4 linked regions of the Caenorhabditis elegans genome follow. The protein of the gene in region 1 interacts with the protein of each later gene in a pairwise test. Each region holds a gene or a part of one and is shown in the gene's direction. Other genes may lie near its edges. The genes, in order: unc-130, fozi-1, hlh-27 and dmd-8.

Evidence for each region.
Region 2: the proteins of unc-130 (region 1) and fozi-1 interact in a two-hybrid assay, tested with the Caenorhabditis elegans proteins (one large-scale study listed by BioGRID).
Region 3: the proteins of unc-130 (region 1) and hlh-27 interact in a two-hybrid assay, tested with the Caenorhabditis elegans proteins (one large-scale study listed by BioGRID).
Region 4: the proteins of unc-130 (region 1) and dmd-8 interact in a two-hybrid assay, tested with the Caenorhabditis elegans proteins (one large-scale study listed by BioGRID).

The regions. Positions count from the first base shown.
Region 1 is NC_003280.10:11,278,147-11,285,757, forward strand, and holds unc-130 (Forkhead box protein unc-130), read left to right. Parts: upstream 1-3,819; 5' UTR 3,820-3,848; coding exon 3,849-4,186; intron 4,187-4,620; coding exon 4,621-4,947; intron 4,948-5,187; coding exon 5,188-5,524; 3' UTR 5,525-5,813; downstream 5,814-7,611. UniProt on the Caenorhabditis elegans protein: Probable transcription factor. Binds to DNA sequence motif 5'-CTGTTTCA-3'.
Region 2 is NC_003281.10:9,278,461-9,286,682, forward strand, and holds the start of fozi-1 (Formin-homology and zinc finger domains protein 1), read left to right. Parts: upstream 1-3,320; 5' UTR 3,321-3,473; intron 3,474-8,222. UniProt on the Caenorhabditis elegans protein: Acts redundantly with hlh-1 to promote body wall muscle cell and coelomocyte specification in postembryonic mesoderm progenitors, probably through suppression of sem-2.
Region 3 is NC_003280.10:5,537,000-5,544,059, reverse strand, and holds hlh-27 (BHLH domain-containing protein), read left to right. Parts: upstream 1-3,846; 5' UTR 3,847-3,850; coding exon 3,851-4,008; intron 4,009-4,064; coding exon 4,065-4,295; intron 4,296-4,342; coding exon 4,343-4,760; 3' UTR 4,761-4,985; downstream 4,986-7,060. Other genes in the region: C17C3.24 (uncharacterized protein), read left to right, coding at 2,485-2,547, 2,973-3,056; C17C3.11 (Protein kinase domain-containing protein), read right to left, coding at 5,650-5,897, 5,942-6,014, 6,061-6,225.
Region 4 is NC_003283.11:332,663-340,594, reverse strand, and holds dmd-8 (DM domain-containing protein), read left to right. Parts: upstream 1-4,144; 5' UTR 4,145-4,156; coding exon 4,157-4,292; intron 4,293-4,448; coding exon 4,449-4,621; intron 4,622-4,670; coding exon 4,671-5,189; intron 5,190-5,460; coding exon 5,461-5,742; 3' UTR 5,743-5,994; downstream 5,995-7,932.

The DNA.
Region 1 (7,611 bases):
TATGTATAATCTAAAAATTGTTGGAGTGATCAATTTTGAGTTTACGTAACTCATATAACTTTCTGTACACACCTGACAATCAGTCAAAACCCGGCTCTAATATTTTGGTCAATTATCTTGTCTTTTTCTTATTGGGTCTTACCACGATGCATATCATTTTGAGATTTAGTATTTCACCCCATTGTTCAACTTTGACATTTTATATCTCAGTTGTCGTTTGTTCCACACAAAAATTGTCAACTTACAAAATATTTGTTATTTCTTTTTTTAAATCATTTCCTAGTTGATAATTTATTTATATCTTCAAAATAAACAAAGATATAACCTATCAAATAAAGTAGTCAAGTGCAGTACAAATAGAGAATATACGGTGGGTGAATCTCTTGAATCTTCTTCAAAAAAACTGAAAGTGAGTGGTATCTCTTGAACAACTCATCCTAGATCATCCCCAATTTTTCCAGCTGACTAACCATACGTTCAACATCTACCCAGATTTAAATCTAAATACATACACATTGTTTCTCACTTGTTTTAAACAAGTCCTACAAGACGCGTGTCACACTTGTTGCCTGAGATTCTTGTCACTTCTCTGAGCACTCTCCCCATCATCTCATCATTTTTTTCGCTTTGCAAAGTCCAGCGGAAATCAGTTTTAGAAGAAATGTCGTTTGCAAGTTTTACCTGATCCCCCAATAACAAGTGCAATAACAATAAACTAGTGTTTGGGGGGGATGGGCAGTTCCCTACCCAAATTTATAGCCAATCTCCATTGATTACCGCTATCATTCTGTCCTGAAATAATGCGTCTCATTCAATAGGGGGTAATTGCAAATGGCAATGAAATTGGGTTTGAACTTTTGCTACTCAAACATGGGTGATTTTGAACATTTTACTGAAAACTGATCCTAGAGTGGTTAACCTGATTTCTGAGTTCTTTCAATTCTAAAAATAATAAAAAATAACTCAAGATTTTGGTTTTGTGAAAAAAATATAAAAACACGTGAAAAACTTGTTTGTAGTCATTTTGCAAAAAAAAAAGTTGGTTTTTGAGCACAATGTTCAACAAGCTTTGGGTGTAGGTAGGTATGAGGTAGGCCTGTCCATTAGGAAAGTATCAGTGTTCATTACGTCTACGCCGATGTTATATGGCACCTGCCGATTTGATCAGGGCTTGAATATTAGAAGCTAATTTTGTACTTTTTGTCTAAAATGGTTCTAATTATTTATTAAAATACCTTGGGTAGAATATCGAAGAGCCCAACTGGTCTCATGTCTCGCCGGAAAACGCGTCCTTTAGTTACTTGCGATCATATTTTTATGCTATTCGAGTTCCTTTTATGCTATTCGAGAGCTATTCGAGGAGCTACTCTTCTATTTTGGCTCTGATTATTTTTTGTCACTGTTAGAATTTCTATAGGCACGACTGACGACCGCTTTTTTCCCGGAAAACGCCCCACGTAAATTTGCACGCATACTTTTGGTTGGGAGCCAGTGGGGCGAGGATCCTCCCCTTCACGTAACACCTCAGTCTTCCGAGTAGGAACAAAATCGCAAAACTTTCGTGGTAAGACCACCGGCACCCCATAAACATTTATTAAGTAACACACACACAATTAATGCGTTCCTTCCCACTGCCAATCTTCTTATCAGAAAGATGAAATGACCGTCTCAACCGAGCCTGTGTGTCTATTTGTGTGTGGCCTTTGTAATAGTTACCACCTAGCTGATAACCGAGAAAGTTGGATTACCTCATGATTCCCTCATAAATTTGCCGACAGGTTCTTTAACGAAAACATATTTGTCTTTTGATTGTCTATTCTCTATTTACAAATTGATAATTGGGAGAATGCCACCCAGAATTAGTCGATTTAAAATTGAGTATGATCTACATAGATCTGAGTAGTGGTTGATCACAATGATATAATTATTATATATTAGTATCATTTTCTCTTTCTCTCTCTCTCTAAATTCACCCTGTCATCAGTGATGATTCTCAGTTTCGAGCGGCGGAGGGGCGAGCGTGTGGGCGGAGCCGCGTGTCCAATGAGCGTGGGGCGGGGCGGTCCAATTACCGGTGTTTTCTTTCGTTTATTCGCTTTTTGTGACTATGACACCAAAACGGAAGAATCAGTGGATCAGGCAAAAATATTATTATTAGAACTAATAGTTGGATTTAGGTTGGGTATCATTCTGTACCTATTTCACCTGATTTCTTGTGCTTCACTTGATCTTTGTCTTTATTATTATTGTTATTATTGTTGTTGTGCTCCTTGTTGTGCTCCTTATAAATCCCGTAAACTCTAAATCTAAATTGTTATCTAATACTTTTTATTGGTTACCAATAATATTACTTCTGCCAAAAGAGGCAAAACGCCGCGTTTCAAAAAATGAAAATTTTTATCTGTTGTTCATCACTGTCAAATTTATGATTATTAATATTTCTCACCATTCAAATTAAAACTTTTGCTTCAAAACTACATAAAACATTCAAAAACTTGAAACAAATTTTATTCGATTTTTGCAAGTTTTTTATTTAAAAAAAATTATACCGTATTTTCCCTAGCATTCATTTTGCTCATATCTCGGTTGTCCCAAGTTTTATCAAAAAAATTTTAACTGTCATAATGTAGAAAAATAATTTTTCCATAGTTTGTAAGTTGACAATTTTTTGATAGAACCAGAGAGAATCGAGATATAAGCTGTCAAAGAAGAGCAAGGTGCATGCAAGTCAAATAGGAAAATAGTGGGTTTTCCGGTTTACAAATTCGCATAGTTTTGAATTTTTTACAGAGTTTTCACCATTTTAGAGAATTGCTCACATTTTCTGAATTTTTTTTTCAAAAAATTAACTGGTACCTAAATTGAAATTTAAATATTTTGAGCAGAAGAGGTGAAACTCTTTTTTTAAATTTTTTAATTGCTTCTCATATTGATACTATTCTCTTTTTGTGCCAAAACTTCTAATCAATGCCCCGCTCCTTTCAAATCCTAAAGTTCCACTTAAAAACTGAAGAATCAAAAATCTTGAAACCTGTACTGTATGTACTCTTCCAAAAAACCACCTCCGTGCTTTTCATCATTTACAACTTGTCTCCCAGTCCTCGTCCGCAACTTGCTTTTGATATATTTTTTTCGACTTCTTCATTTCAACACATACCTACACACACAAAAAAAGTTTGCGCTAACACATGTCCGCCCGTCATAAATCTACAGTAATCTCGGAGCTTTCTTTCTCTCTCCTGATGCTCCCACACCACTCTGTCATTTTTCAATTGTTCTTCTCTTGGAAGCTCATCTCTCGTTTTCATTTGATCCTGCTAGAAGACACTTGATATGTTGTTTGTGTTAACTAAGATAACTGATATTGTTGAAAGTGATAGCTTTGCTTTGCTTTTCAACTTTTCGTGTTCCTCCTGCTCTTTTTTTTGACAGCTTACTAGTACCGAGTTCGGACCCCTGCATAGTACTACAAATATTATATTAATATGAGAATGATATACCCTTATTATCCCCCCACGTACTCTTGAGAATCATTAGTATGTTTCAATGTTTCGCCAACAATGGATTGGTATCATCTGCCCTTACCTACCGTACTCCCTCAAGTGCTCCCTCATCCATGATTACCGTACTCCCCTACTCTCCTCCCCCTTCTATCCGATTATAACATTTTTATTAATAATTATTATTGTCTGGTGTCTCGCGATGCCATCTCTATCTTACGATTTCGCTTTGAATTTTGATAACGCTATGAAAATATTAGCTTTTCTTATCTTTTTTATGTTTTACTTTTTTTCATAATTTTTTCATCAACTTACTTGCAGAAACTAACTAGGTAGACACCGGTAACAATGCTCTTTTCCATGGAATCAATTCTATCAAGTACCAAGCCAAAACTGGAGCCACCTCCGAAGCTAGAGCCGGAAGTGACAATCAATGAGCAAGTGGTTGATCTGCCGCGGAGCAACACACGGCTCTCCGAGCCATCAACTTCTGCGTCGGTTCTTGAACATGATTTGAAGTTTGGGGAGTCCCGAAAAAGAAGTCGGTCTCTTGGAGACGAGCCCACGGAAGATGAAGACGGCGTTCCAGTTCGGAAGGCAAACAAAAGAAATCATTCAACTTCAAGTGCTGCAGATAGCTCATCTGATGATGCGAAGGATGATGACGACGATGATGATTCTACATCGTAAGTTGGGAACTTGGGAAAAACTTAGGAATCTTAGAAGAAATTCGATTTTTCTCGACCTCGACCTTTTAGGTCCTTTTATACAAAAAGTTTGTATGCTCAATTTTTGTGAAACTTTGATCTCCGATATTTTTAAGTCTATTAGACATTGTTCAACTACCGTATTTTCCCTGTATGACTTGCATTCTCTTTACTCTAACTTGACGGTTTATATCTCGGTTGTCCTAAATCTTACCAAAAAAGTTTAACTGTAAAAATGTAGAGATATATTTACATGCATTTTGTCAGTTGACAATTTTTGATGAGACCAATAAAAACCTAGATATTGGCTGTCAAAGTAGAGAAATAGGTAGAGCAATATACCTATAATATGTACAGTGATATGTACAATAATATGTACTGTGTAAAACAACTGTAACTCTATAATTTTGCAGTCGAAAATCAATGTCTGGTCACCGAAAGAGCAGTCACGCAAAGCCACCGTACTCCTACATTGCACTCATCGCGATGTCAATTCTCAATTCACCGGAGAAGAAACTGACACTTTCGGAAATTTGCGAGTTCATAATCAATAAGTTCGAGTATTACAAGGAGAAGTTCCCCGCCTGGCAGAACTCGATTCGTCACAACCTAAGCCTCAACGACTGTTTTGTGAAGGTGGCTCGGGGGCCTGGGAATCCGGGAAAAGGAAACTATTGGGCGCTGGATCCGAACTGTGAGGATATGTTCGACAATGGATCGTTTCTGCGCAGAAGGAAGAGGTAAGGGGAGCACAGGAGAAAGTATTACAACCTGACGGGGAGTAGTAGCCGGCGGCGGGGTGAGCACACATACGAGATGTGAAGAGAGGGAAAAGACAGTTGTTTCGATAATTTGTCACCAATTTGTTGTCATTAATCGCACCCTCGAGGGTAGTGGAGAAGCCTGGGAAAAGAAAACTTTCGGGGTTAACAAGGGAATTAGTGAGATAAATTTTCAATTCAAACACTTAATAATTTCAGATACAAGAAAAACAGTGACACATATCACGAAATGATGTCCCATCATCCGATGCCATTCCCTCCATTCCTCCCGCAAGGAATGCCCTTTCCTCCAAGAATGATGCACCCGATGGCTAACATTCCCATGCTGGGACATCCAATGAATCCAAGAGCAGTTCCAAACATGCCAGCGTTCTTCATTCCACAAAATATTGATAGCCAGAAGCTCTTGTCAATGATGGCTTCGAGAATAATGCCAATGGATGCTCCAGTCAGCTCTGGCCAGAAGAGAACTTCATCGAGCTCCTCACCAAATGAGAATGGATCTTCGGCAGTTTCAGATAAACTGAGCGCTTAGAAGAACACTCAATTTCCTTGTTTAATTTTTAACAATTGTTTCCTATTTGCTTAACCTTTTCTAGTCTCTTGTTCCTTTTCCGTTCCCCTTCAATTCCTTTCAGCATTCTTCATTTCCCCTGATCTCAATCGTGCAATCAATAATCAATTTTTTGTTAATCCTCCTGCACGTGGTACCACAACTTCATTTCTTCAACTGATCTTCCCTTTTCTTTTTTTTCTTTGTTTCATTATCTGTGAAAGAGCTTATGTCGTAAATAATTCGAAAATATATATGTCCATCGTCAGCATTTTTGAAGTTAAAATCACATTAATCAATTGAGCAAACAGTAAGATGAAAGGAGACCGCAGAAGCTGCTGAGCCGATTAAAAGACTGAAATTGATAAGGGAGGGAAGTGACAAGACTGCTGCAGAGTTACTAGTCTGCAAAATGTCATGAATCCAACAAAAAATCAGGGTTCAGAAGACTAGGTTTTTAGTAGAAAACATACCGAATTTTTCAATTAGTCTTGCACCAAATTTGCTCTACTTTGGCAGCTCATATCTCGGTTGTCTTCAATTTTAACAAAACATTTTCAACTGTAAAATCATAGAAACATATATGAAAAATATTTCTACTGTTGAAATTTTCGTGATAAAACCAAAAGCAGCCGAGATAAGAGATCTGAAAGTAGAGCAGAAGGGGTGCAGTACTAATAGGAAAAGTACCGTAACTTACCTTTTCCTAACTTTTCTAAATTAGATGGATATATAACTGGACGCGAATATTAGCCACAGACAGAGTTCCTCAGCCTCCAAGAGTCCTCATTTTTCCATATAACCTGGCTCCTTTGGACTAGATAGAATTTCTAAAAAGACGACCTATGCCTACTTTTCTGTGAATAAAAACCATTAAAACCATAATTTAAATCAACATAAAGCTACTTGTTGTTTGGGCAAATAATGATACTAACAATTAAATGAACATTTTGAAAACTATGCTAAGATTATTCAAATGTTATCCTAATTACCAAAACCCTAGTTTAACTCGGTGACTTTTTGAACTCCCGCCAAACCATATAATTATCTCAAGCATGTCGTCTTCATTTCTATCCTAATTAGATACCCATACATAGTGTATATATGTATATTCAAACTATACAAAACGGATATTGCTTATCAAATTCATTCATCAGTTTGCCACGTCAAATCAAATTATCGAGAAGTGTGTGTGGGGGTGCAGTTTCACCTTATGCCACCTCATGTTTCGTTTGACGGCACATGGTGACAGGCCCGATGAGATTTTGAACCGTTTAATTGATACTAATCGGTATCTTAGGTTGTATTAATGTAATTACAAATACCGTATTTTTTAATGGTATGCACCTAACTAGTTAGAGTTATCAATTGTATTGGACCAACGAAAAAAGCCGATACAAGCTTTCAAAGTCAAACAATTGGGTGTAATGCTAATAGAAAAAATAAGATAGTTAGGAAAAAGGTGTTGCCAAAATATAGGAGCCTCTGCTACAGTAACCCGTGTTTAAAAGTGCCAATATCCTAATTATCTCATACAATGCAAAACTCTCCATCACCACCTGCAACTACTCCGCTCATATACAAAACAAGGATTATTTCAAGTAGGTTGAGCATAAAGATGTGAGTACGATAAGTACCGGACAATAGCCAGCCAAAAAAGGCTAACCGCCAAGAGTATTTCCATACAAAATGTGCGTCGGCTAATCCGCAAATTATAAGGTGCGACATACACAAGTCGTCGAGGTGGCGCAACTTAAAGATTCATCTGATACTGGGCAGTGAGAGAGCGTGTGAAGTGTTATAGACGCAGACGCCAAGGACATGGAGTAAGTGAGCAGATTGTTATGCAACCGAGCATTTGAATACCATCTTGTTAGGTAATGGACCCATCGAGACATATATACATACATAAACTTGTAACACCTTCTGTTGGCAAGGGTGAACACATAAAATTTGTGTCTGTGTTTGTGGAGGACATTTGGGGGTAATCAGTAGCAGAACAAGGAGTTAGTGGGGAGGAAAGTGATCGGGTAGCACAATTTGTTATCAGTTTTGATACAGTACACTCG
Region 2 (8,222 bases), on another chromosome or scaffold:
CCAAATTTTCCAAAAGTAAGTGGTGTTTTTGATTCTCGGTTTTTAACTTTTTAATAAACGTTAAAAAAAATCAAATACATATATTTAAAGGGCATTTCCCCCATATAAATTTCTAGTATCTTCAATCCCTTATCTTATCATTAACCCCTGCTATCCCAGTAACTCCCCTCTAGTTTCATCTTCCGCCAGCACGCGCGCAGCTTCATCTCAAAAAGAAACAAAAAGAAAGTAAAATGGTAATAAGTGTTCGTGTCTCTCTCTCATCGTCATCAACTGGTATGCAAAAGCTTTCGCTGATGAAAACCGTCTTCGTTGCATCTCGGTGGTGGTGTCCACACTGAAAATACACTTAATGCGTCTTCTCCCTCCTTGTCATGTTGTTTTCGCTCTTCATCCCCGCTCCTGTTGTGAAGAGACACGGATGAATATGTTGCCTTTCTGTCTAAGAGACGCGGATAAGTGAAGCCAAAAACGAAGAAACTATGCCATTACTATGTATTACTGTATAAAGGGCTGGTTCTTTTTGCTTATTTTCAGAAAAAGAAGCAACATGATGTTGCCATCGTATGTTCGCTTTTAAGTGGCGGAAAAAGGAGAAATTGGTTTGCGAATGCGTAGATAACACATTCAAAACACAGATAGTTCATGAAGCATTTCAAAATGTTCGGGTCTGACATTGAACAATTATAGGTTTCACTTATTCACTAAGGAATTTCACGCATAAGTTCAAATGGAAAGGAAATGAGTATTGATACTTTTTTTATGAAGTACGGAATTTCCTAGGTTGATGTAATCGGAAATAACTTTTTGCTTCGGGGTTAGTTTTAAAGAATCATATGTTTGATCTACTACAGTGCCAGCTATTTTTTTCCAAAATTTTGCTTTTTGTGATTTCACAATTTTTCGAATAGTCCTAACTCTAAACATCTTACAGCTTAATCTACGTCTTTGCAATGATTTGGAAACATTTTTTGGAGGGAACAACATCGCAGTTTTGTAATTTTCTGAAACATTATTTAAAGTTCAGATGGGTCCCGCCACGAGAAAGACATTTATGACAAAAACTTTTGATTGTTGGTGGCCACTTTTTGGTGCCCAAAAGACTGTAGACTATACATTTTTTCGCCGAAAGACCCAGACTAGTAAATTTAATTTTAAAAAATCTTCAGAAAAATTCAAAATTTCCTGAGAAAAAAATCCGGAATTAAATTTTCCCTAAACCTAAGTCCACTCAGTGTTCCACTTTTTTTTTTCAAATTTCGAATTATACAGTAATCCAAGTGCATCATGCGGGCACTCGTTAGTTCCTCCCAAAAAGTTTGTTTAATCGTTCCGCTAAAGTTTTTTCCAAAACACTCGGCACATGGTCATCGCCCAGCGCCGACAATTTATGCCGTTTCGTGTTCGCCGCCTGTATGAGAACACAGTTGTCAAATGCTCATTTTAGAGTACGGTAGCTTTCCAGATTCCATACGTATCTATTTCTCATTACCATCTGATTTTAATCCGTCTTTTCGTGTAATTCACACGGATAACAAACAAACTTATACAAACAAAAAATAAGCTCAATGGGTGGGATAGAAGAAGGGGGAGAGAAGTGGTCTGCGTCTCGTGAAAGTGAACAATGATTGCGTGAAGTTCAAACCAGATGTGGATATGTGTCTAGGATTTTGGAGATTTTCAGAACTAGAATTTAGGTTTTAGGCTGACTTTTTCGAGATTACAATGAATGGTTTATTTTCTTGAGATTTTTGTGGGTAGCACTACCTTGGAATACCGTATTATCCCTGCCAGACTTGAAACATTTTCAGTGTCTTTCAACATACCAGAAAAAAGCTAAAGCTTGCGCTATGAGTTTTCTTGATTTAAAACTTTAAAAATAAGAACTTTCACCTTTTGAAATTATTTACATTTCTTCGAAAGAATCGGACTTCTACAGACTACAGTTTTCAAATTTATTTTCCGAAAATTTTCCCACTGTTTTCTTAGTTTCTCTAGAATCTTTACCTGCTCAAAGTTCACACCTATTCATTTTTGTTTTCCCGTTTGTTGTTTTTTTTTTCATTCACCTTTTCTTTTTCCCCCATTCATCGAGCTTTTTTTGGTGTCTGTCATCGAGTCCATGGGCTTAGCGAGGCTTGAAGATGAGCGCGCGCAACTTTTCGCGTTGATTGTCGCATTATTCCCCCGCGATCCCATTTTGCTCTTCTCATCGCAACAGCAGCAGGCTCACACGTCGTTATAGTCTCCTGTTTGTTTCGCAAAAAAGGACTTGGCGTCCCCGAGAAGAAAACGATACGCAAACACATATATAGATTGCAAGCAAGAGTGAGAGGTGTGTGCAAGCTTAACTCGGAACACAACGGGAGCCACCTCTCGACCTTGTATGGGAGAAGAGTCAATGCGCCTGGAGGTTGAGAAAAGAAAACAATGATCTTGATCCAAAATGATCTCGATTTCTTTTTTGAGCATTTCCAAACATCCAGAGAGCTCATACCGTAACTTCCTACTATTTTTAACATCAAAGCTCTATATGCTATAAGATTATGAAAAATGTGATTGAAAAATGGAGATTTTGAGAACATCCAGGGATCATCCAATGGTGGTTTACAACTTTTGATAGCTTATTTTATCCATTATAATATCCAGATTTTTCACAATTTGTCACTTGTTATAGTAGCTTTGTGACAGATTTTTATTTTATTTTTGCTTGAAATGCTCTCCACAGGGTGGTTTTTTTCGCTGTTCTCTGTATTTGAACAATTTTTTAAGATTTTTTCAGTTTTATTTCAGCTAGAAAAGTTTAGAGTAAATAGGCTACGGTATAAAAAATAGGTTACGGTAGAAAAACAAAATCTTCGTAAATTGTTTAGATTTTTTGAAATTTTCAGTTGACGATTAGGTAAAATGGTAAAAAAGAAATGTTCAAATGAAAATATTTTTAAAAAAATTTGAATTTCAAAAATTTGTTGCAGAAGTTTAGAGCGTTCATGTAGGCGCCAAAACGTCATTTCTTAATTTAAAAAAAAGTTCAGAAAAATGCGCGAAGATGGTGTGAGGAAGCCAGTTTTCAGGCAGGCGCCATGTTTTGAAACCGAGCCTGCCTTGTATAGAAGCAATGCAGAAATGAACATTTTCATGTTCAACATCTGAAATTATGAGTGATTGCAAAAAAAACCATTTTAAAACATTTTTTGAAAAGTTTACTTGGCTCTAAATTTAAAACTTTTGTTTTTCAGAAACCTAAATCTTCAATGTTAGAAGCTACCGTAACCCTTCTCCCCCGTTTTCAAAAAATCTCATCTCTCCTTAATTTGTATTTTCAGAGCATCCTACAACCTCTTCTCCAACGTGCTCCAGCCAACTGACCACTTCACTCTCTGAAACCGTTCGCAATCAGCGGAAGACGCTGGTGGGGATTCGTCTCCGGCCGCCTGCGCCTGTACACACAATGACATAGACACAAAGAAAAGGTGAGGAGTGTGATCGTATTGAGAAATGTGCGAAAACGGGAGTAGGAGCTCCTGTGCTCAACCTTCTTATTCTCTTTATTTGACATATCGAGAGCATAGAGATGGACACCCCCTTAGAGCCACATTTGGACTTAGGCCAACGCCTGTGGTAGATTTGAAATTTCTAGTTTCTTGTTATGTTGTTTTCTTGTTTTGCTTTTCACCTTCTGAAGCTTCAGAAGCTTCTTTTGCCATCATCAACCCAATTACTATAAAGTAACAGAAACTTTCGCTGATGCTTCTCTTTCCTTCGTTTTTCTGGTACAAGTATCCGCCATCGAATGAAAAAATCTTGTTTTTAGCCCTCCCTAGTGTTCGTTGATGTTTCTTTTGTACATATATCCGTCGCTCTCTCCACCTCCATCTACTTCGATGGCAGTTGTTTTGGTGCAGGCACCAGGGGCGCAAAGGTGAAAGTGACGAAAGAGGCGTGGCAACCAGGAAAGAGTGGACCCTTAGTTTCCCAACGATTCGCCGCTTTCCCTCCATTTTCTCTAAACTTTCTCAGCTTTTCGGCTTTATCGACAGCTTCGTTCACCGTTCTCGATCATTTTTCTCACCTGAATTTTCAAAACTTTTGTCTTTTTTCCATGGAATACTTTTACATTTTCTATATGTAGTTTCATTTGTTCCAAAAAAATAAGTATTTTCTGGATAATAGGTTTCTGTATCTAAGTTTACGGTAGGTGCAAGTAACTTTGCGTAAAAATTGAAAATTAAAATGATTACTCAACTTTTTGAATACCATATTTCTCTAAAAAAGACTTGTCTTAGACCTTGCTCAACTTTGACAGTTTTGGCTCCAAATGGTTTCATCAAACAACTGTCAATTGACAAAATACGTGCAAAATATTTTTTCTATATTTTGATAGTGGAACATTTTTTGATAAAAACCTAAGAAAATCGAGATATAAGCCACTCAAATTATAACATTTTTTAGAAGCTAGAAAACGTAATTTTCAGTTTTACCTTGTCCCCCTGAAAGTTCATGAATTTCAATTTAATTATTTTTTTCCAAAAACCGCATCGTGCCAAAGATTTTCATTTTAAGCTTTATCCTAGATCCACCCGACCAGATTACCATAAGTTGAACTTGTTTTGTTTGTTGAGTTTTTATTCCAGCAAAATCGCACCGTATCTCATCTCTGATTTGTTATTCCCATTGTTTTCTGGTGGAGGTTTCGTATTCGAAATTTTTTTTTTAATTTTTAACGGCAATTTTGAATGTATTTTTCAAATGTTAACGAAGAGTTTTTTCGATAGTGTTACTGGATCTTTGATAAGCATATGATCTTCTTAGCTTTATCGTCTGATTTAAGTCCAGTAAAAAAATAATCTAGAAAAAGTTGAGCAGGTTTTATGACTGTTTTTGTGAGGAATTGTAGATTTGATTGAACATTTTTATAATCTAAAATTATTTTTAACTCAAACTTCAAAAAGCACTTCAAAAATGCAACGAGTATGATGGATGGAAGTCAACCACAAAAAAACATATTTTTTAGATTTCTAAAACTGAAGGCTCTAATTTTTTAAACATTAAGTTTCTAGTAACAAAGTCAAAATTTACTCTGCTATTTCGTACTAGCTACTTCCTCATTTCGAATTTTCAACTTTGACCTCATGGACATATCCACGTGTCGACACAATTTCTAATCGGCTAAGCTCCTACTTAGTCAGTTTTCATCGCGACTAATATTTAACAACGATGGCCTTATCCTATTCAGTTAAGCCTTGGATTCAAAAATTTTGAAAATCTCATACGAAATTGAAAACCTATCAACGTATCAAGTTGGTGTCGGGTCTTCTATATTTTTTTTGGTTAAAAAGAAGATTGAAGCCCTTTAAATTTTATCCAGCTTCATCGAAGATTTCACAAATTTCAATGAAATTATTCTTCAAAAATCATCGAGTCTCCTCCCTTCTTCCCCCACTTTTTCGACATTAACTTCCCATTTTTTGAGAGGTCATCAAACTTTTAATGATCTCTCGAGTCGTCCATCAACTTTCACTCATTTCACAGTTGTTTTACGGCTCATAACTCCGCGAATCTCGCACCCATATAAACTCTCATTTTGCTTGATAATTTCACACTCAGTTGCAATGAGTACTGTAGTCTTTATGAAGTCTAAACTTAAAATTTTCACGCCAAAATAATGTGAGAATTTTAAATTTTCTAACCATGATTGAGAGAAATTTCCAAAAAGTTACTGTATTTCCTTACATTACTTCACTTTGAAAAGTTACATTTCGGTTTATTTTGAAGATTTCAAATTTTCGTACTATTCCTTTAAAAAAACATAAATAATAAAATTTATGAAGTATCTCATTGGTTTCACTGCTTCATATTTCTGGGAAATAAAATATTTCTATTGACCTAAACTATCTTAAAATTATCTATATTCCAATTTAATACTATGTACTTTCCATCTCACCCATCTACCGAGTTAACTGCAAAATTTTTCAAAAGTTATGAAACTAATTATTCCTCCGGCAAACAAATGTGCCTATCACACGCTCTATTCATACCATATTAACTTGCTAATCAACTACTTTTGTGTTGTTAATCACTGACACATATGTAAATTTCATCCTCCAATATCTCGCTCCTATTGTTCCTCCTGTTTTTGAATCATGGTGGTGCTGCCAACTCAGCTCCACTTAGGGGCGGCGCCTGATGTCCAATTGGGCTCTGCCGGCTTTTGCTACCAACTCATTACTTTTACACCTACGGTACCTATTTTTTGTGTTTTTCAGGATACCTCTCAACTATTCATCAGCTTCATCTAGTCATCTTCTTTTACCTGTAAGTAGTGAACAAAACAAAAACTCGAAGATCCAATGTTTTGCCTCCTTGTAATAACTAATTCAAAAGTTAAATTGGAGGCCCCTTCTCTTCGAATAACTTATTCTCAAGATGTGAACACTCGCCCATTTTCAAAAACATGATTAATATTTCTCGGTAATACGATACTTGTCTCTATATTTTTTTCTAAAATGCGCATCTTCCTTATACGTCTAAACAAGAAGAAAAAAACCGAAAAACAATTATTGTTTTTGAAAAATGAAATAGAATTTGAAGGAGGTAGCCGTCCAACTTCTGACTATTTGGAGCTAGGGGCGTCAGTTGGTGAGCTCACACCAGGCGCCGTGCCTTGGTAAAATTTGAAATGGTGTAAAATCACACACGTTGGCAACATCTCTATTGCGCATTCAGTGTAAATTTAGCAACTGTGCAGGGAGAGTTGTGTATAGGACTTTGGCAATATGTGTTTGGGTGAGCCTAAGCCTATCCCTAAGCTTAATCCTAAACCTGCACCTAAGCATAAGCTTAAGCTAAGCCTAACCCTAAGCCTAATCCTAAACCTAAGCCTAAGCCTTAGCTGAAAAAAGTCTTTCAACTTCTTTTAAAATCTCAAATCCCCATATTTCCTTTTTTTTTTGTTCAATCAATTGGCAACTTCTCTCAAGTTTAGTCAGAATCTGTGACGCGTCCGCCTTCTGAATACAAACTGGGGAGTAGAGCATGACTAGTATTGTAGTTACTCCATGAATCTTTCGTTTTTCTGACTGATTGTCAATCACGCCTAGTAATGTATCTTTGCTTCATGAAAAAGCTCACATTTTTGTTCATTTTGTCGTGATTGTTTTGTTGCTTGGACAACTGTTTCTACATTATTGGTTTGAACTACAGATGTAGCTGTTGAGTTGACTTAAAAAATATATGTACTGTATAATTTTTGAAGAGTTTGATTTTTATTACTGTTGAAAGTTGCTTAAGCTTTGAAAAAATCAGTTCCCCAAGAAAACGTCTTACATTCTTAAGCCATTTTTGTCATCATTTAAATTTCTGAATATCAAACCTTCATAACAATCCTCAATTCATTTCGCTACAAATTACTGTTATTCTGCCAACTCTCAAAATCACTTATTGACGTGTGGGTCCGACTCCAAAATTCTCGATAAAAAATTGTATTTCTTATTTGTCGCAATTCTCCCTGCCAATCGTCAAGTTGTACAACTCAGTGCCATTCATTTCATTTCACTTTTTTTCAGATCCCTTTTCCATTGCAACAAACACATCAAACTGAAGCAGCCACCGTTCACACTGTAAGTATATGGAAATTGGAAAAAGTAGAGCCAACTCCCCTTACTTCGAGAATTGTATAGCCTAGTACATTGTACAAAGTCAGTTCCAATTTGAATGCTTATTTCAATGGAACTGCCGCCGCCGCGTGCGCCAGTTTTAAGGAAAGAAATTGTACATTTTATGTCTAGTTTTTTTCTCAGTTGAATAAATCTACAGTAACCCGAGTAGGATAGCCTTGAGATCCGTTATTATCATGCATGTGGCCATTGTCATTATTATTATAATCATTATGAATAAATAATGAGGCACATGCGCCTCTGGATTACTGTAAACATAGTTTTATAATTATATTCGCTGTACAGGCATTTTTTGCAATTTTTGTATGAAACCTACTGCTCTACTTTGACGCTGATATCTCGGCTGTATTAACTTTTATCAAATTAATTTGAAAAATCAAACACCAGAGAAATAATTTAGCACGATTTTTTTAGTTGGCGATTTTTTGAGAAAATCGACGAAAACTGAGATATTAGCTATCAAAGCTAAGAGATCTAATAGGATCCATACGGGTATAGGTTAATCAAAGAAACTTTTGAAAACAACTTTTTTCCAAACAAATTTGA
Region 3 (7,060 bases), 5.7 Mb from region 1:
AATAGTTTTAAACGCACGACAAATTTCCGATTGGTCTCTTTAGAGTTACCAGACTTATAAAAGCTTCCAAAAAAAATTTCAAGACGAAAAGTTTCTGGATATATTATCTACCAGAAACTCGTGCCGTTTGAACAAAGAAGTACCAATAAATAAATACGTTAGTTTCAGAATTTATACATACATCTCCAAAATATAGGAACTATCGCATAGTTTACAAATGCAGTCTACTTAACGTTGTATGAATTTTAATTATGCCTCCTTTTTAATAATTCTTAAACGGAAATCCTTTAGTGAGCCTATGTAAGTGACAATGTTTTCTAACAAACATTCATAGGACAATTAGTTCGTTTATTTTGCTCTACCGGATAACCCCAGCAGAGCGGTTCCAAAAGTTAAAGTTGTTTGACACTCTCTTTCGAAAGGTCAGAACTCCAGCGTACCTTGAGTAACTGGGTTAAAACCGACTAACACTGCGAGACGTCCCGTCTCATGCAAGTGTGTGTACCGACCGCTTTCGAGGCAAGCGAGTAACAGCAAGAGAGTGTCTGTTGTAGAGATACAGACTACGAAAGTGTGTCTTTTGTGGTGCAGGGGAGAATAAATGGAATGTACGAGGCAGAGCTCTCCTTAGGTTGCTGGTTCGAGTCTCAAGCAGTAGCGTCTTTTGTGTTTTTTTTTATTAATTAGTAAAACATTTTTCGAGTAATTTATTATATACTTTATCAGGATATGCATTATTGATATACTCAAAAGAATACCACCGTTTGTCAAAGTAAAACAATATTATTATTAGAGGAAAAATTGGGTGAAAAATTTGTTATTAATTATTTAACAAATGGCTCAAACACGACGGAAGTTGAAAAACAAAAGTTTGCTAGTTTTTTTAAATAGAAAAACTTCAAGAAATAAATGGAAAACTAACTTACATATAGTGTCAGAGAAGAAATTGAAAGTTTTACCTGACGTCAAACTCGAGATTTGTTGCATCTGAGTATGAAAGAAGATTGTAAATCTGTAAAATTCTGCTGAAAAAAATATTGAAAACATTTTCTAAACAAATTTAAATATTTTTTTAAACCAAACATGCTCAGACAGGTGCGAGTCACGGCTAACCGACTCAAAATCACTGCTAATTAGCAAAACGCCAAAAAACCAGAACTAATTAGCTTAAAACCATGGCTAATTAGCAAACCATTGCTAATTAGCAAAAAACCAGAGCTAGCCAGGTTGACTCTATCCCTGGTCAAAAAGCTAATTAGCAGTGATTTTGAGTCGGTTAGCCGTGACTCGCACCTGTCTGAGTGTACGAATTGATTATCAAAGTCATCCCTTCAAGAGGGATTCTCTTGTTCAATTAGTGAATGAAAAAAAAACGAAAAGTCCTGTAGCTAAAAGGAAAAACTGAGAGAAAAATGTGTGCATTGACGATTTTTATGAGTATTACAGATGTCGTCAATTTAATGTTGGAAAACGTAAATGCAAAACAGAAAGAGACAAATGAACTGTTTTTTTTTAAATGATTTTCAATTGTTTTTAAGAGAAATAGTAGCGATAATTGTTGGTCAGTAACAGTCAAAACATGACTCATTTTTTTGTCGAAATGGTTTATCAATTTTCGTGGAAGCCCCTTGTGGTCGGATCAATCAGACTAAAGCTGCGATTTTTATAGATCTTGTTATCTCTATTAACAATTGCGATTTTTAAGTTACTTCAGAGTAACCAAAACGAGTTCAGGTTATTTTAAAAATAATGGATGGCGTAAAACAAAATTTTTAGAACCACTTTTTGAACCTAACAAAGTATTGGAAGTATTACCAACAAAAAAAGTTTCAGAACTCATTTCCCTAAAACAAAGGACAAAAACATTCAGGCCAAAGGCAACCCTGTATACAGAAATAAGACAGAAATTATCATCGTTGCAACGGGGGGAGACAACAAAAAATCAGAATTGAGAAAGAGCCATGCACCATGAGTCAGGGATTTTTCGTTATTAATAGTTTTTGATAAAATTTGTCCCTTTTTGTTGAAGCTGAGGAGGCTTATTGATTTGAAAGTTTGTTCACATAACCTTTTAGTTGGCAATTGGTACACTTTGGAACACTGAAAACGGAAATATCAGTTTCAGTGATTTTGATTGAAATTGAATACTAATTTCCTCACCAATTACATTCAATCACTTGACTTGACTTCGCTATTAATTTATTGCTCATAGTTTCAGATCTTACCTTCACATCTGCTACAAAATGGACCGCAGAAAGCTTCAAAAAGAGGCAAGAAGTGAAATGAAAAAGGTGAGTATTTCAATCTCGTTCTGAAATTCAACTCATCTTTTATATTCAGACCGCCAATGGCGTCGACCGTGCCACATATAACCGAGCAAAGGCTCTTTTGGAGATAATCCGGAAGGTTAGAAATATACATTTATTCGTCATCACATTACATTTCTAGAATGCCTAGGACCGTTTCAAGACATCTGTGAGAATTATGGAAACCCGCCTTCAGGAAGAGATTGCCACAAATGATCTGGCTTCCTCCACGATCTCCAAGGTGAGTCATGATAATTTTGACTCGGCAAGTTTCCAAAAATTGTCTTCCGTCGTTGTACGATGAAATTTATGGCTTAATATATTAAAGAATAAAAAATAAAAAATTGTAATTTGGGAGACAGATGTGAGTATATTTAAGGTCATAGCTACTGCCATAGGATTACTGTAGCCAATATTCCAGTAGCTGAACTATTCCACGGGCAATCTCCGTTGTTATCATGATACTGTATGATAATTGTAATAAAACTAAAAATCGTTTCTGAGATCATGAGCGAAGATCAAATGAATTTATTGGCGGGTTATTATAAGGCTACTGTCGTGATACTGTAGTGATACTGTTGCCGAAATTCATATCATTGGAGCAAACAGGGAACACAATTTATATTATAAATCGTCCTATCAACTTTCAAACTTATGTCGTTTCAGTCACGCCATGCCATTTTTGCGTCCATAATCGAAGAGCTCAAATCAATTTCCTCTCACTTTTGCATTCCAGCTCTTCCAATATGATTGTTCTCCATATTTATTCTGTTGACCACTGTCAATTCAAAATAGATATCTTCTTATATAAAAATTATGTTCGAAGAAACTGTTGCAAATCAATCTTGTTTAGAATTACTGGCAAAATAATTTCAGTTGTTTTCTCCTATTTTATTTCTTTTCGAGATATTTCTGTTTAAAATGTTGTTCATCCGGTACAGTTGATACTACTATAAACTTATAGAATAAATTAACACAGTGCCAATATCCTAATTCACAGTCTCAGCCGGAATTTCCCAGGCAGTACCCAATCGATATCCAGTCGTCTAGTTTCGCATGGTCCCAAGACAAAACTGGAGATGTCCAGCCTCGTTCTCATGAGAACCTCACTGATGAACCATGGGAACCCATGATGGGGACTGTAAAAATAGAGATTTCAGAATAATTCCCATGGCTCCAAACGCTTGATACAAAGCTCCACCCTCTGAACAATAATGGAACTATAAAAGGTAACCATTTATTCATTGTTCATTTACTTTCTTGGTGGATCACTGGTCTGCTGGTTTAGTATACTTTTTGATAATTGTAACATCAGGAAAGTGTACTGATTTTGATCAATTACTTTTAAAGCATTCAGTGAACTGTATACTTCTAGAAAAACAGCACGAGTTATCTCACTAAACTAAATCAATTTGTGCTGCTTTCTTGGTCTCATTTTTCTGTTTTGTCACAATTATTCCTTTTATTTAACGGCTCATCTTGAAATTTTATAAATTCTAGATTTCTTCTTGATTTTAAAAAGATTAAAACTTATCAAATTTCAGATGCCAAAAGTTATCCCATCTTCAATGAGCGATTATCGTTCCGTCCCATACAATCAAACTCCAAAATCAGGATCTGAACGGAAAAGAAGAAATATTACAAACGAGTTGATTAACGAATGCAAGACGATTGTTCAAAAATCAGAAGAAGAACATATATCGTAAGTTTAAATACTCTGTTAGCTTAAAATAGTTATTAAACTAATTCATTTTTTAGACAAGAAGTAGTTCTCTTCCGAATTGTGAAACTTGTGACTGGAGTTAATCTGGAATCTAATTTCTCATCGAATGACCTCTCCGAATCTACAAGACGGAAGTTTGATACTGAATCCGAAAGAAGAAAAGTGAAGACTGAACGTGAAAAGATTCGAAGAAAGAAACAAGATGACTGTTATGCTGAATTGAAATTCTTCATTTTGAACAAACAAATGGGAAGTTACGAGCAACGGTAAGAGTTTCATTATGGCTAATAAAAATTCAAAAAATTATTTTCAGATTAAAACTTGAACGGATCACAATTCTAGAAATCATCATTGATTACATTAAACACAATTCCGATCTTCTGTATCCAGAAACAATTCCCCAAATACTTCCTCTTTTAGCTGGAAAATCAACTGCTACTTGTGAGAACAAAGAGAATGAAAAGCCAAAAACACGAATGGAAGTGAAGGATCTCTTCCCAAGATTGACGTTTCAAGAAGTTCAAGAATCCCCAACATCTACTTCTCCATTGCTCACATTTCCATGTATTCCAATGATCCCAACTACTCAGTTCAATGTCTTGTCAAACTACAACACCGTTCCATCAATATTTTCTGCTCCCCTCCGATTCATTCTTCCATCACTTCAAATCTTAACACCAGAAACTAGTGACGAGGAAGAAAATGAAGAAACCGTCGATATTAGTAACTAGTCTATCAAGTTCTTCCAGATCTTACAATTAGTTTCTGAGCAATTTTTCGAAAATCTTCATTGTCTATATTGCGTTTTTGATTCATTTTTTTATCTTTCTATGGCCAATATTCCCGAACTTTTTCATCCCATCGCGTCGCAATCTATTTTTGAAGATTTTTTACTACTCACGTGATAGTCTTGTCTAAATTATTCTGTTTGAAAATGAATGTTTATTCGGTAAAATTTGTTAGCCAGAATACAAGCAAGACAAGTATGTATAATCAAAGTTCCATTAGTCCACACCAAATTCCATCTCCCAGTCATACGGAAACTCTTCAATGTCCTTGTCTAGCATCACTTTTTGCAGTGTTGTATAGATCATCTCATAATCGGGCTCCTTGAAGAACGAAAGACTGTCGATATAGCTGGAAATGGAAAATTACGAATAAATCAGCTTTGGTAGAGACTCACTTCATAATCAAGCGAAATTCATCTGGGCAGCCAGCAAGGAATTGGCCCATGATCGGTTGGAAGCGGGAATTCTTCTTCATCGCACCAATCTCGCCAATCTCATTTACATTTTTCCAGGGAAGAGCTGCATTGGTGAAATCGACGAGCATGTAGAACCTAGAAAAACACATTTTCTCAAATAAAAACTATTATTCTTATTTTCAATTCTAAGTGATAACCCAATCTGGCCTTCTGGCATCTTTACAGAATATATCACATAAATGACTAGTTCTTAAATTGATTAAACTAGCCAGCTTTCCAAATCGTCCTTCAGTCCATGTTCCGCCGTATTATGTGATGCAAGCGGTGCATATCGAGGGCTTCCACGAAATGGCACAGTTTTTCTTGGCTCGAGCATCAAATTTTCGCGATCTACATACTTTCGGCAACATCCGAATCTAAGAACAAAAATGTTGCGAAGCTCGCCTTGGCTTGCTCTTCCGAGATAGAAGTTGCCAGGGTTCACATCTCTGTCCAAGAACCCACTCCAATGCAAATCTTCCAATGCTTCCAAGCATTGAAACGATGCCCCAATCGCAGAGCCCAAATGTCAAATGACCATCAGGCCCAGTCTTTATAGCATCTTGCAGGGATTTCCCAAGAAGCTTCATGACAATATAGTTAAAGTTGTCATGGCGTCCCTTGTCTGAAAGATGGGGTTACGGTTACCTACAAAAGTGTACTACATACCAATGAGAGTAGGCATGTGGCTGGGCGACTTCTCAGATACCTTTGTCATCACACAAAGCTCAATTCTCAGCGACTAAAAATAACATTTTCTGCTTAATGGTTCGACAGTATTAACTCACATATATCTCCTTGGTATTCAACTGAGCCTTCAAAACATGCTCCTCTCCAGCATCATCTCGCACAGCATACACTGCTCCGAATTCACCATCTTCAAGTTTCTTGAAAACCTTGTAACGACGAACTCTATAGTCAATACTTAGCTGAATAACGGGAGCCTCCGTCATCTCGTGACGAGAATAGATTTGAAAATAAATTATTTATGGATTTTCGGAAAATATTGATCTTGTCGTTGACGAACTTTTTTAAACACAACGTTATCACATCTTTGAAGTCCACGTTCAAAAAAAGTTTTTCTTGTTTTTTTCTGCAATAAAATTAACTTCATAAACTAGAAAAGGAGATTTTCAAAAATCCGGACTGTTGATTCAAAATTATTTCAAATTGTTTTTATTCTGATATATATATATATATATATAATATAAATTAACACAATTCTAATATCCCCTTTACATTCTCAACCAAAATTTCCTATAAAAAGGGGAAACTCACGCCCATAACATGGCCAAATAATTGTTTGTCCATCTACGGGTCTCGCAGCGAAAATCAAAGTTTATTCGGTGTTTTTTATTTATCTTTTTTTTTTGGGAAATTATGAAACTAATTTTTGTTAAAATGATTGCAATTTCCAAAAAAATCAAAATTTCAAATTAAAAAGCTCGAAAAAATAGTTTAAAACTGAACTCCCACTACAAACTGCCCAGCGGAATTTGGAGTCTCGTTTGGCCACGCCCACTCGGTTCCTTGAACTTTAAGTTAATTCAACTTTCTACAGAACATTTTTAGATTTTTTTTCAATTTTGTATTCAAAAATTACACTCAAAAACAAGAGAATTCTATAAAATTGTGAAAAATGAAAAAAAAAAATTCAAACAAACAATTTTTGTCAACTTTTTCAGAAAATTACATAGTTGTCAACTAGCAAATTATAGAGACATTCTAATTATTTTTTCCGAGCTCTAAATACAAAAAGTTACGCAATTTAAAGTTAGAACTAAAGAT
Region 4 (7,932 bases), on another chromosome or scaffold:
ATTTATTTTTTTTGCAAATTCAAAATTAGGAAGCAATTCTTCCATCAATTCTTACGCAGCCATAAAATGTTTATAACTTTCCCGAAGCAAGTAGGAATGTATGCAGACATGTAGGCATGTAGGCATGTAGGCATGTAGGCATGTAGGCATGTAGGCATGTAGGCATGTAGGCATATAGGCTCTTAGGCATCCAGTCATCTAGGCATCTAGGCAACTATGCATCTAGGCACGCAATTCTGAAAATAGATTGATAGCGACCAATACTCCTGATCCCCTAGCTACAGTATCCCCATCAACCTTTAACCTTTCCAAACGTTCGCCCTCTCAAAGCCGCCGAACAAGAAAACTTTTCAAGTAAATAACACGAGCAAAAAAAGCGCGGCGTTTCGATTACGTCAAAAGTGTGAGTGTTACAATAGGGATACATGTATACATACACATACCCCGTCACACTTTAGAGGGAGGTTTCCGAATAGCGAGGATAATTTTCAACTTGAAATTCGACACCCCCACCCCCTTTTCACCAATAGGTCGACCTAGGTAAACGGGCGGGAAAACTATGTTGCGAAGTTTTTTCGGTGATCACACAGCTGTGTCAAAAGATGATGGGGACAAAGTGAAGGTTGAAAACTTTGGTGGGGTACTGTAGCGGCCGACGTTTCCCGGGTTGCGCCGCCACTGTGACCCGCAAGGTGTCGGCCGCAGTATTCATAACCGTAAGGGCTGTTGAGGGACGACATGGGGCAAACAGATTGAGTCAAGACCTCTAAGGATTATCTTTGTAACTGAACATTTTAGAAGTTTACTGGTTGCTGAGCTAAAAATTACGTCAGAAAAATTCGAAAAACGTCAGAAAACGCCACAGAAGTACGGATTAGCCTCCAGATAAATGATGGAAACATAATATTTTTGAGAATTCGAATATTTATTTATTTCGATTCATTTCTAGTTCTGTGGTTCTTTTTTTGTTGATATATATATTGTTTTGACAGATATATAAAATTCTCAATACCATCATACTACACACATTTTTTTTCTTAAAACTGTGGAAACCCAAAAAATAAATATAATTTTGGCAGGTGAAATTTGGGCTTTTGATTTTTGTTATTAATCAGTATGCCCATGTTCAATTTTGCCTCACTATTAAATTTTTCGAGAGTTCGCTGCGAGACCATTCAAATTCTAATTTTTCAAAATTTCGACAGGAAAATTAAATTTAAATTTTTAAAACAACTTTAGTAAGGAATTAAACTTTTTACAAAAAATTCAGAAATTAAATTCCCGTGGCTATTTTTTCGAGAAAATCAGCATTTAATATTTCAGAAAAAAAAATTGGCGGAAAAAATTGCACAAATTTTGAAATTGAACGACAAGTTTGATTTTTTAAGGAAACTCAAAATTTTATTTTAAAAAATCTTGCAAAAATTCAAATTAAAAGTTTTAATTTTTTTGAATAAAATTTTTTAAATTAGGGGGTTTCAACTTTTTTTCCGAAAAAAAATTATTTGAACTTAAAATGTTTCATTTTTATAAAAACTAAATTTCTCATAACTTTAGTGTTTTTTTACTTTCAAATTTGAATAAAAACCACCAAAAATTGATTTTTTTCAAAAATGTTTGTCAAAACAGGAATCATGTCAGTAACCCTCCAGACAATCATGTTTTGTGAAACGTACCCAAATCACGGGGGACCAGTAGTGTCTCGCGGTGTCTAGAACAATTTTGGACAAGCGATCAGAAACGTGTACATATAATACATATAAGTCTAAAGTTAGAAAAAATTTCTAAAAACAATATGTATGTTTTTAAATGTTAAAAAAAATTAAATATAGAGTTGTTTTTTTGAAAACTGGCAATATCACAATTTTTGCCACTTTTTCGAAAATCAAATTTTAAAAGTAAAAATAAATTTCTTCGAGCTTTTTTAGTCTACTTATGAGTCAAATATATGGGGCAAAACTCAATAATTGCTTTTTTTGACTGTCCATAAATTTTTTTAAAATTGTTTTGAAAATTTTTATTTTGGTATTTTGTCATTTTACACAATAGGAGTGGTTTTTAACAATTTCTTAGCTGGCCCGACTGCATCTTCTACATGAAAACTCAGGAAAACCAGTGATCTCTCAAAACTTTTGAAATTTTTATGAATAGCATTGGCCAGCATCGCATTTTGAACCATCTTATCCAGTGACGCAAAAATTTGACTTGACCGAGTCAAGCCGGTGCTTATCCAGGTACTTTCGAACAACGTGGCTTGGAGCTATCAAAAATGATAAGCAGATTGAATTTTGACGTTATTGGTGTCAAAACCAATGTCACTAGGTATGGTTATTTTTAGGAGTGCAGGTTTTTTTTGGAAAATAAAAAAATGTAACTTCATTAATTTTTTCCAAGAATTTTTCTTATGGGTTGATTTTTTTCAGGCTTTCTACCTACCTCCAAGAAATCTTGTTGCATTCTATGTTTTCCTATTACCCCTATTCCACGTGACAAAATATAGATTTCCCCGGTGGGAGCAAGAATTCTTCAAAGATTACGGTAGAGCGTCTAGACGGTGGCAAAAAAACAAAACTTGTCGATCAGAAATGAGCATTTCCCAAATGAGCATAAACTAGTATAAAACAACTAGTTCCTACATGTTTTAGTATAGTTTTTTTAAACATTTTTTTTACTGGAAAAAATGTTTTTTTTGTGCAGCCGACAGTGATCGAGGACGGTACAGAATTTTTTTTTAACCTTGCGTGTAAAATTTGGTGCATTGGAGTCGGTGAACGAGGCTTTCGGGCTTGCTTGCCAGGCTCCTTTTCAAATTTAGATCGAATTTCATTGTTTAGAAAAAACATTTTAAAAAATTATTCCATTATTTAGAAAAAGAAAAAAAATCATTCAAAACAAAAAAAGCATGATAAAGGCAATCACAGAAATGGATTTAAATCGCCTAATAATTCAAACACAAGGGCTAAGCAATGCGAGAAAAAGATTAGCAATCGTCAAAATCCGCTACAGATTTTCTTATATTTTCCACACAAAATTTGAAACCACTCTGAGCGATTGATTTTCGACACAATTTGTCATCCGATTTGTTGAAACTTCTGAAAATCTTTTTAGTTTTAGTGTTTTTTTGTGGTTGTTATGAAACATTTTGCAATGATTTTCAGCTTGCTCAACTTTGAATTTTCCAAGGTTTCGTAGGCGTAGACCATAGGCGTAGGCCATTAGCCATAAGTGTAGGTCATAGGCGTAGGCAGTAGGCGTGGGTCATAGGCGTAGGCAGTAGGCGTAGGCCATAGGCGTTGGCCATAGGTGGAGGTCATAGGCATATGTCATAGGCGTCGGCCAGCAAGTTTTTCAAGTTTTAAAAAATTCGAGTGTTTTCAAAACGAGATGAGCACCACCTTTTTGTGAACAAAATGAAATAAATCGGCTTTTAGTCCAACTGCTCAGTTGCTCCATACTGATCCGCGTAAAACCCCGACCGGATTGCCCCTCCTTATCTACGCAAACTGCGAATCTACGTAATTTCCCCCATCGACATGAGAATTCCGTCATAGCTCCGCAGAGCCAAAATAGAATGTTTACGGCGAATTTTCTCGAATGAGTGGGGAGGGATGGCGGAGACGTTAGACATGGTTAGACAGCAATCAGGGATATTCAAGAAAGAGGCGGAGCCGGCAGATACAGAAAATCTTTCATTCCTGGATTGAAGATGGGAAAGGCGGATGAAATTTTATTTATTTATTTCGATTCCATTTCATTTGTGAATTCATTTCGATAGCTTTTTTGCTCCAAGGGGAGCTAGGTTACTGTAGATAAGGGAAATTTTTGGTGGCCGAAGAAAACTAGAAAAACTTCGGTCACGCGCCCAAGCCTCTACAACTTCCTGTTTTGCTTATGCTTTCCCTGAAAATTTCTCTGAAAGCATCGTCTATATAGCCCCCAGGGCCTTATCAGGCGACTAGTAAAACATGTCACAAGATTTTTTTTCAGACAAGTGACTGAAAGTACTGTAAATATTCCATTGACGCAGTGTCTATAAAATTTCAGCCAATCAGGTCATCAAGCTCAAGCATCCCTTATCTTGTAGCCCTCACAATTTCATTTTGTGCTTCAACTTTTCCAACTCTTGAAAAATGGAAAATTTCAGACTTACCTGATCATGTCCTCATCTTCCCTGTCATCTTCTTCAAATGCCTCATCGCTCAGTGCTCCAGAAGGGCTTTCACCAAACAACAGCCTCTCCCCGGATGTTGGAGCACAGAGATTTTTCAGCCAAGGGAAAAGGATCCCGAAAGGTGAGCTATAGCTTCTTAGCAGCCGACAGTTAATTGGTTTCACGAGAAAGGGTCAGTAGAAAAATGTATGGTTGGTTAACTGTCGGCTGCTGATTTTTTTTCAGAAATTAGTATGGCCTACGCCTAACATAGTTTTATTTTTTGTTAAATTTTCAGATGTGAAACGGCACTGTGGAATGTGCAAGCAGCATGGAGTTTTCGTAGAGACGCGCGGGCACACCTGCGAATATAGAAGTTGCGAGTGTGAGCAGTGTGACTTGGTCCGTAAGCGACGGGAGATCATGTCAACTCAGATTCGTCTCCGACGAGAGCAAGACAAGAAGTTCCAGGTACCTTGTGATTTTTTTCCTAATTTTCCTAACTATCCCCGTGTTTCAGCGTACCAATGATATCAGCGAGGCCAACGTGTTCCCAGGCTTCACAGGTGGGGAGGCAGATGAAAAAGCTGTCATGGAGAACATGAACATGTGCTATTTCTGCCAAAAATGCAAGAATCACAATGTGCTCGTCTGGAAGAAAAATCACAAAAAGGAGTGCCAATATTCCAGCTGCGAATGCCAACAGTGTAACTTGATTGATTCCCGTCGTGCCCTGGACCGGCATATTAAGAAGCGAAAAATGAGCATAAAGGGCAACACGGTTGAAGCTATCGCACCGAAAAGTCCCAAAAAAGAGGGCTCCACCACGGCTTCATCATCGTCACTCTCATCTTCTTCGGGCTGCAATTCGGACGAGTCGGCTTCATCCTCGGATTGCTCGCTATCTGGAATGCTATCAGAGAAGTTGAACATGGCTCCGCAGGTTCAGATGAAATTCGACTTCAGTGCCGGGGGATTTATGATTCCTGCAGCGACTTCGGCAAATGCAAGCACTAGTCCGGCTGGTTCTCCATTTGAGGTGAGGTTCAGATTTTCTGAAAATTTTTTCAGGTACAGCTTGAACCTGAAAAGGCATGTGGGCATGTAGGCATGTAGGCATGTAGGCATGTATGTATGTAAACCTGTAGGCATGTAGGCATGTAGGCATGTAGGCATGTAGGCATGTAGGCATGTAGGCATGTAGGCATGTAGGTATGTAGGCATGTAGGCATGCACTAGTCTCGTCCTAAAAACTGCTCTAAAAGGTTTTTTCCAGAATTTCTAAAATTTCTAAATTAAATTTTTTTCAGACAACATCTCCAATGCCGCTTCTCCTTCCGCATTCACCAATTGCTCTTCCACAACTTGCTCCATCAAGCCTACCGCTTTCATTTCTTACCGTACCCTCTCTCATGTCCACCGCGGCCTCACCATTTTTCACGGCTCCGCTTATGTACGGAGCTGCTCCAACTCTTTTCCCGAATCCTCTCCTGATGACCCCTATCGGAATGCAAATGTTGTTCCAGAACTTTCAAAATTTTCAGAATATCCGTGAGCTTAGCGCTGCAATTAGCTGCGCTGAAACCGATTGATTTTTCTTTTTAATTTTTCAAAAAAAAAAACAATTTCCAATCTGTGATTTATTGTCTTTTCCCTGTAAAACTCTAGTTCCTTCCCAGTTGCACCTCAAAAAGAGTAAAAACCCCATCGAAATTTTAAGCTGTGCGGGTTTTCAGTTCAAACATGATGATAATAATATTTTGATGTTTTTGTGTTTTATATTTCCAAAAACTTTTTTTTGATTCTGCAAAAGTGATAAATTAATAAAATTGTACTCTTATCAATTTATGACTCGACTAGAAATTGAATTATAAAGTCACGGTTTTTACAGAGAATTTTCCGAATTTTCAGCCACCATATCTGGAATTAAGCTTGGATTTAGAAATTTCACGGCCTTTTTTGCATAAAACGTCAGGAAGCAATCCCATATATTAAAAAAAAACTAAATGTTAAAATTCAAATATATATTTTGTAGAATTTTTTGTAATTTTTTTTCAAATTTTGCTATTCCAAAAATAAGCTTTCCGGCTAAATTGAGCAGTTTCACTTTTTTTGATTTTTTATTTGAGACGTGATCTGTCAAATTTGCATGCATTTTACAGCAAAAAAATTAATGTTAAGTTCAGGCCAGTTTTAGAGTTTCACCCAATTCCTTTCGGCCTGTCAAGTTTCCTTTAATGACAATGGTTGAAAATTTGAAAAAAATGGCCGAAAAATTCATTTACCAGTGAAATCTCACAATCAGATTTTTTTCAATTTTTGAAAAATTTAAAATAAATCTTTAAAAAATTAGAAATTTTGTTTCGGTTAACATGACCTGTTTTTTTGTATCTCTTCAAAAAATCTCTTATAAAAAGCGAACTGTAAAGTGTCGGCTGCTTCCTAGAAGTTCTCGTTGTCTTCACAAATCACAAATAAAGAAAGAAGTCATGTCACGATCGTGCCCTCGAGACGTCATATCAAATTCTATTGCTTATCAATGTTTCAGTGCCCAACCTGAATCCTGAGTCACCCGAGAAAATGTTCTTGTTAACGACTCGAGCCGGTACTAGTGATTTCATAAGTTTCTTATCAGCTTTATCAATAAAAAATGTTTTTAGTATCGTCTTCGTAAAAGAAAAATGGAATGCCGGTTTTGAGAATCACATAGAGCTTGTGATTTTTGAGATGACGTGAGGAAGTCAGGTAGTATAAAATAAATTACGTTTGAGTAACTTTAATTGGATTTACTTTGGTTTTTTATTGTTCGGTGCTCGCCACGACATCATGCCTGCGTGCCTGCCTACCTACGCGCCTTCAGGGTGTGGTGGCAGTAGGCAATCTTAGGCTAGCACGCCAAATGCTCAGGTTCTGCAAATTTGTTTTTTGGTGTTATAAAATTTCCCTTCTTCTCTATGTATCCTTATCGAAAATTGTTGATTATGGAATTTTTCACACAAAATGCGGGTTTTTTCCTATCAAAATTTTGGAAAATGTCAATTTTTTCCGGACAAATTGACATTATTGTCACGGTTTTAAAATTAGGTATAAAAAAGATAGACGGATGCTCAAAATATTTATTTTTGACTTATTTTTAAATTTTCAAAAAATATTTATATTTTAAGAATTAATAAAAATAAGAAATGTAAGAAATATTTCCGAAAATCTGTTATTTTTCTACCAGTTACCAGCTTTTCAACCAGCCTACTTTCCTGCCGGTGCCTGCTTTGGAATTTCAGGTTGGTAGGTAGGTTGGTAGGCAATGTATTTTGAACCTTTTGCAGTAATGAATATTTTTCATGAAACTTTTAAAACATATACGATCTTGTATTGGCGCCTATCTGAAAGTTGCGTCAGACGAAGGCCGGCTTGCAGGCTGACAACTAGGCCTATACGGAACACAAGTTGTTTTTTTATCGAGAAAAACTGAAAATAATTTGATAATAGAACTTTCTGTGCCACTTTTGAAATTAGCAAATCACGAAAAAAATAACGAGCAATTTGTGACCGTTTTGTGATTTTTGCACCGTTCAATAATTGACTCACATCCCCAGACCACAGTTTGATAACAGGAAAATTGTGAAATCAAATCGAATTATTTCCTCTATTTGCCCAAGTAAGGCGGCAAAAAAAGTTTCAAAAGTTTCTCACAAATTGTAAACACAAAGGCACGGTTTGATAAGGGAACACAGTGTGGAGCACAAAGGGCGGGCGGAGAGGCTTCTCATCAAAAAGGTGTTGGC